Rattus norvegicus: one gene and its partner. The protein of the gene in region 2 interacts with the protein of the main gene of each other region in a biochemical or structural test. Links are inferred from orthologs where the notes say so. Each region holds a gene or a part of one and is shown on either strand. Other genes may lie near its edges.

The links. The genes of interacting proteins can lie anywhere in the genome.
Region 1: the proteins of Usp5 (region 2) and Cacna1h form a complex in vitro, tested with the Homo sapiens proteins (2 studies listed by BioGRID, with this or other methods). The link is inferred for Rattus norvegicus from reciprocal best matches to the Homo sapiens genes USP5 and CACNA1H.

What each region holds. Positions count from the first base shown.
Region 1 is NC_086028.1:14,909,837-14,913,491, reverse strand, and holds part of Cacna1h (voltage-dependent T-type calcium channel subunit alpha-1H), read left to right. Parts: coding exon 1-78; intron 79-580; exon of another isoform or gene 581-654; intron 655-1,007; coding exon 1,008-1,797; intron 1,798-2,077; coding exon 2,078-2,517; intron 2,518-3,655.
Region 2 is NC_086022.1:159,314,327-159,317,981, reverse strand, and holds part of Usp5 (ubiquitin carboxyl-terminal hydrolase 5), read left to right. Parts: intron 1-1,381; coding exon 1,382-1,448; intron 1,449-1,573; coding exon 1,574-1,707; intron 1,708-1,845; coding exon 1,846-1,991; intron 1,992-2,243; coding exon 2,244-2,428; intron 2,429-3,107; coding exon 3,108-3,202; intron 3,203-3,655. UniProt on the Homo sapiens protein: Deubiquitinating enzyme that participates in a wide range of cellular processes by specifically cleaving isopeptide bonds between ubiquitin and substrate proteins or ubiquitin itself.

The DNA of each region.
Region 1 (3,655 bases), on a different chromosome or scaffold from region 2:
GGCTGGGTGGACATCATGTACTACGTCATGGATGCCCACTCGTTCTACAACTTCATCTACTTCATCCTCCTCATCATTGTGAGTGTGGGTGTGACCGGCTGGTGGGCATCCCGAATTTGATGGGAGAGGAAGCCATATCCCGCCCCTTCCCCCTTGACGTTCATACATTCTGGACCTCCTAGAGTGCTGTCAGTAGTACAGAGGCAGCTGCGGGATGGGCTTCGGTGGGTGGGCAGGCAGGGGGCTTTTCTGCTCAGCCTATGGTTGAAGGAAGAACTCAGGATGGGAGGAGACCTATATGGCCCCTAGGCCCAAGGCTCAGAATCTTCAGAACAGTCAGTCCCAGCCCCCCCACGTCCCCCACTGTACCTCTAGCATAGCATTCCCACAACAAACATGGGATCTCCTAGCAAAGCCCCCTGTAGTGAACACGGATCTCTGGGAGTCTCTCAAACATCCATCACCGCACACTTCTTTGGCCCATGACTCCCCATTACCATTCACCCCACACACAGCCCCCCAAAGCATCCATGTCTCAGATGTAGTTTTATCTTGCCCCCCAATATCCCATGGTCCTCAGATAGGACGTTATCCGTTCATCGAACAGACGTTTCCAGATCCCTGGATGCTTAGGGAGCCGCCTGCAGGGCCCCGGTAAGAAAGGGATGTCATACAGTTGTAGTCTCAGACAGCCCACAGCAGGGACAAGGGGGGAGTCAGCAATGGCAGAACTGGCCATAGAGCTTGTCTGGGAAGGCCCCGCTGAAAGCCAAAGGACAGTGTGGCTGCAGTGGAGGGCTTGTTGAGGACAAACCTAAGGATCAGGAATTCATGCAGGACCCCAAGGGGAGGTCCCTGACCCATTATCACACAGTTGCAAAGTACCTATAGTAGGCCACTTCCCAGAATATCAGTGCCTGTGGCATTGTGACTAGGCCCCAGTCCCCAGAGAGGTTCGGGCTGGGCTGGATGCGGAGGTGCTGGTAGTCACACACACCCTGCCACAGGTGGGCTCCTTCTTCATGATCAACCTGTGCCTGGTGGTGATAGCCACACAGTTCTCAGAGACAAAGCAAAGGGAAAACCAGCTGATGCGAGAACAGCGGGCCCGCTATCTGTCCAACGACAGCACTCTGGCCAGCTTCTCAGAGCCCGGCAGCTGCTACGAGGAGCTCCTCAAGTATGTAGGCCACATCTTCCGGAAGGTTAAACGCCGTAGCCTGCGTCTTTATGCCCGCTGGCAGAGCCGCTGGCGTAAGAAGGTGGATCCCAGCAGTACCGTGCATGGCCAAGGCCCTGGGCGGCGGCCACGACGGGCAGGCAGGCGTACAGCTTCAGTGCACCATCTGGTCTACCACCACCACCACCACCATCACCACCATTACCACTTTAGCCACGGTGGCCCACGCAGGCCCAGCCCAGAGCCAGGTGCTGGTGACAACAGGTTGGTCAGGGCCTGTGCGCCACCCTCGCCGCCATCCCCAGGCCATGGGCCACCAGACTCTGAGTCTGTGCACAGTATCTACCATGCTGACTGCCACGTGGAGGGGCCGCAGGAACGAGCCCGAGTGGCACACTCCATAGCCACTGCTGCTAGCCTCAAGCTGGCCTCAGGTTTGGGTACCATGAACTACCCCACCATCCTACCTTCAGGAACAGTCAACAGCAAAGGTGGCACCAGCTCACGACCCAAGGGGCTACGAGGTGCTGGCGCCCCAGGGGCTGCAGTACACAGCCCTCTGAGCCTGGGAAGCCCCAGACCCTATGAGAAGATCCAGCATGTGGTGGGAGAACAAGGTGAGGACCCAGCCCCGCCATGTTGAGCAGAGTGGGGACCCAGGCAAGGCAGGTCCTTGGTCCTGAGTATTCCGGGCCCTCATCCCATTGCTCCAGGCTGACCCCAAGAGGAACTGTCAGGCCATTTCTTTGTATCTATTTATCTCTGAAACACTGCCCCTTTCTATGTGGAGAAACTAGAATTGGGATTGTGCTGGAGGGGAAATGGAGACCAGAGTCTCAGGGCCCTGGGTACTGCTGCAGTGGCCTAGCCACAACTGTTTATGCCTTTGCCTCACAGGACTAGGCCGAGCCTCTAGCCACCTGTCAGGCCTGAGTGTGCCTTGCCCCCTGCCCAGCCCCCAGGCTGGCACGCTGACCTGTGAGCTGAAGAGCTGCCCATATTGTGCCAGCGCCCTGGAGGACCCCGAGTTTGAATTCAGTGGCTCAGAGAGCGGGGACTCGGATGCCCACGGAGTCTATGAGTTTACCCAGGATGTACGGCATGGGGATTGTCGGGACCCTGTGCAGCAGCCCCATGAAGTGGGCACACCAGGCCACAGCAATGAGCGGCGGCGGACACCACTGCGGAAGGCCTCACAACCAGGAGGGATAGGCCACCTCTGGGCATCCTTCAGTGGCAAGCTACGTCGCATTGTAGACAGCAAGTACTTCAACCGAGGCATCATGGCAGCCATCCTCGTCAATACTCTGAGCATGGGCGTTGAGTATCATGAACAGGTGTGTGTGTGTGCAAACACGCCCTCCTTCCCCTGACCCCCAGGGCAAACCAGGGCCAGGCTTGCAGGATGATGACACCAGTTTTAGAAGCACAATTCAGGGTCCCTGTGTCTGCCTGGAATTCCTAGCCCTTTCCTGAGGTCTCTGAGGGAGCCATCTGATCTGGGATTTTTAGGTTCTGCTGAATGATCCACACAATACCATTTTGGCTCTAATTCAGCCACTCTCCCCCTGTGGGAGGGACAGGTGACTTGAGATCACCACAGACTACCCCCTCCACCCAGCTACCTCATCCCAAGGGGCAAGCTTTTGCCCAGACTCCCTCGGGAGGGGCTCCCTATGACTCCTCAACGTTCATGTCCTTGGGGAACTGAGGCTAGAAGGGGTCGGCAGCATCGGCTGGTTTTCAAGGAGGACCAAGGGTTACCTGGGATTCCACACCTGCCTGGATGCTGTAGGTCATCCTTTTCTTTCCTCAGCACCACACTAGGGAAAACAAGGCAAAGCCTGGTGTGACAGGCATTCCTGGGGGCCTTTCCTTGTTGTTGTAAAAATATGTAAATAAAAAGTAGAGTTGTCTTTTACCCGTTTAGGTCTGCACAGCGGTGCCCCAAGATATCTGCTAGGTATCTTGGCGGAAACACATCCCAGCCGCACACTTTCCTACACTCAAACCCTCACATAAAAGAACACACAACACAATAATCTTTGACCCAATTGGTAAGATGTAATTGCCCACTTAAACATACAAAGCCCAGTACCTTCGATCCCTTAGGAACATTGATAACAACCTGTAAATACACAGAGCAGAATCTTAACGTCACCTGCCATGGCTTCTCACCCTCTCCTCCTCCAGTCTCCTCCTCTTCCTTCAAACTTCTCTCCCGCCCATCTTTCCTTCTCCTCCAATGACAGGCCTCCTTCTATCCTGTACCTGCCCCTCACCTGTACTTTACAAATTCAATGGGGAGGTGGCTCTGGTGAAGTCACCTGAGTTCTGAGTAGTGACAAGGCAAGGCAGCTGTCCTTGGGGCAGTGGAATTAGCATCAAAATACAGATAACTTCAGGGCAAACCACAACATTTCCTCTCCTTTTTCTTACCTCACAGTAGGTAGGAAAAAAAATCTACCCACTGTG
Region 2 (3,655 bases):
AACACCCAGACTCATTCCACTAGGTGTCTGTTTTGAGTTAGGGTTCTTCTTAGTTAGGGTTATTGCTATGGTGAAACACCATGACCAAAAACAAGTTGGGAGAATGGGCTGACACTGTATTTGGTTTACACTTCTACACCATAATCCATCATTGAAGGAAGTTAGGACAGGAACTCAAGGAGGGCAGGAACCTGGAGGCAAGAGCTGAAGCAGAGGCCATGGAGGGGGTTCTGCTTACTGGCTGGCTCAACCTTACAGAACCTAGGACTACCAGCCTAGGGATGGCACTCACATTAGGCTGGGCCCTTCCACACCAGGCATTAAGAAAATGCCCTACAGCCGTGATTCTAATGATGTGACCACAACAATTCTCATGTAGTGATGACCCCTGTCTTAGTTAGGGTCTTATTGCTGTGAACAGACACCAGGGCTAATGTAAGTTTTATAAAGGACAACATTTAATTGGGGCTCGCTTACAGGTTCAGAGGTTCAGTCCATTATCATCAAGGCAGGAGCATGGCAGCATCCAGGCAGGCATGGTGCAGGAGGAGCTGAGTTCTACATCTTCAGCCTCAGGCAGCTAGGAGGAGGGTCTCCAAGCCCACCCCCACAGTGACACTTCCTCCAACAAGACCACACCTTCTAGTAGTACCACACCCTGGGCCAAGCATATGCAAATCATCACAACCCCCAACCATAAAATTATTACTTTTTAAAGATTTATTTACTTATTATATATAAGTACACTGTAGCTGTCTTCAGACACACCAGAAGAGGGCATCAGATCCCATTACAGATGGTTGTGGGCCACCATGTGGTTGCTGGGATTTGAACTCAGAGCCTCCAGAAGAGCAGTCAGTGCTCTTAACCGCTGAGCCATCTCTCCAGCCCCCATAAAATTATTTTTGTTACTACTTGATAACTATAATTTTGCTACTGATATGAATTGTAATGCAAATATCCGATAGGTGATCCCTGTGGGGATACAAAACACAGGCTGAGAACTGCTGCCCTACAGGCTTGCTACAGCTGGAACTTATGGAGTTATTTTCTCAGCTGAGGCTCCCTCCTTCCTGCTAATGCTAGCTGTGTTAAGTTGACATAAAACTAGCCAGCAGCCCTCTAACTCTGTATTGTCCTTTGCTTTCCTGTCACACTCTCATTTGTGTCACTGAAATCTGTTGATCAGCCTCCTTGCGTTGTGCAGTTCACCATCTTTTCTCCTCACCTCCCTTTTTCCTTCTGTCCCTGAGGCTTAGTGCTGGTCCTGACCCTTTACTGAGTAGCCTGGAACTCTTAGAGCTCCTGCTTCTGTCTCCCAAATGCTAGGACAAAGTCGTGTGCCATCATGCCCGGCCCTCTGAACCTCTTTTCATTTCAGAAAGAAGAGGACTCCAGCGCAGGCACTGGAGACCCACCCCGGAAGAAGCCCACCCGGCTGGCCATTGGTGAGCTATCTGCCGGGACAGCCCTGAGCCTGATCAGTGGCCTCAGAAGTCCGGGGGGACAAACTGGAGAGACGATGACAAATGGTAGCTGCCCTACTTTCTTCCGTATTCTCTGCCCTACCCAGGTGTTGAAGGTGGGTTTGACCTCACCGAGGACAAGTTTGAATATGATGAGGACGTGAAGATTGTCATTTTGCCAGATTACCTGGAGATCGCTCGGGATGGGTTGGGGGGGCTTCCCGACATTGTCAGAGATCGGGTATGCATATCTTACCACCCTTCTAGAGATTGTAGGGCAGGAGGGGCTGCTGTGACAGTACTAACAAAACAGGAGACCACGGGTGACAGGGTGAGTGGGGCAGAGGCGGGGTCCTGGCTGACTTTTCAGTTCTTGTAGGTGACCAGTGCAGTGGAAGCCCTACTTTCGGCTGATTCAGCCTCTCGGAAGCAGGAGGTACAGGCTTGGGATGGGGAAGTCCGTCAGGTGTCTAAGCATGCCTTCAACCTCAAGCAGTTGGACAACCCCGCTCGGATCCCTCCCTGGTGAGACCTGGCTCCTCTTGTCATGGGGCACCATCACTGAAGGGGGGTACAGAGGCCATCTCTGTCTGGGAGCTGGTAAGAGAGGGGGTAGGGAGCAAGCCCAGAAGGAAGATATGGGGGCGATGAACAGTACAGGGATGCAGAAGAGAGAAGATGGGCTGTTGGACTGACAGGGGCCTGGAGACTCCCCTCTCGTTGCCACTCCCGTAGACCCCACCCACAATTGAGCTAATCTTCTTCTCCCTGGGCTAGTGGCTGGAGGTGCTCCAAGTGTGACATGAGAGAGAACCTGTGGCTCAACCTGACAGATGGCTCCATCCTGTGCGGCCGGCGCTACTTTGATGGCAGCGGGGGCAACAACCATGCTGTGGAGCACTACAGGGAGACTGGCTACCCCTTAGCTGTTAAGCTGGGCACCATCACACCCGATGGAGCTGGTACTCTCCTGCCCTCCCCATTACTGTGTTCCAGTTACCCATTTCATAGGACACAAATAACCTAGATGCGTTCCCGATATAACGAAAGCCTTTCACAGATCCCAGCCATCATCATGTGCTGCGACTGTCTTTCCAGACCTATCCTGCTGCCTAGCTAATGGTGCAGGGTACAGTCAGAACCAGAATTGAACTGCGTGTGTGTGTGCGATTGCACTAGTGCACATCTGCTATCCCAGAACTTAGGAGTGGAGGCAGGGGGATCGAAAGGTGAAGGTTTTCTTCAACTATATAACGAATTTGAAGTCAGCCTGGACTATGGGAGACCTATCACCAGAAACCAAGAGGAAGAGAATGCACCCCTGCATATACACCAACACATACATGTGTTAAAAAAGAAACTCACGGGGCTGGGGATTTAGCTCAGTGGTAGAGCGCTTACCTAGGAAGCGCAAGGCCCTGGGTTCGGTCCCCAGCTCCGAAAAAAAGAACCAAAAAAAAAAAAAAAGAAACTCACAATTCCTTATCCTGTTAAACCCTGTTTCCTCTGACAATTAGTTCAAGTGAGCCAGGAGGCTGATCCTGCTGGCCGTCTCTCTGTCCTCTGGGCAGGAGGTAGAGCTCATAGATAGGCCAGCACCAAGCTATCTGTCCCTGCCACACTGTCTGCCTTTTCCTCTAGATGTGTACTCTTACGACGAGGATGACATGGTCCTGGACCCTAGCCTGGCAGAGCACCTGTCTCACTTTGGCATCGACATGCTGAAGATGCAGAAGGTGAGGGAGGACCCCGCCCCACACTAGCTTCAGGTTCTCATTCCTGCCTCTGCGGCTGTTCTGGGCCTGAAGCTGAGGTAACCCAGGCCCCAAGGTATATGAATTTCTCTTTAAGAGATTGCTATAGTCATTTAGTCATTCAGTGAATACTACCAGATATTGGCTCTATGCCGATCACCATGTAAATAAAATAGGCATGGTCATCCGGGCAGTGTTGTGCACACCTTTAATCCTAGCACTTGGGAGGCAGAAGCAGGAGGATCTTTAAGTTCAAGACCAGCTTGGGGGTTGGGGATTTAGCTCAGTGGTAGAGCACTTGCCTAGCAAGCACAAGGCCCTGGGTTCGGTCCCCAGCTCTGGAAAAAAAAAAAAAAAAAGAAAATCTACCCTCAAGACCAGCTTGGTCTACAGAGAGAGTTCCAGGACAGCCAGGGCTACACAGAGAAACCCTGT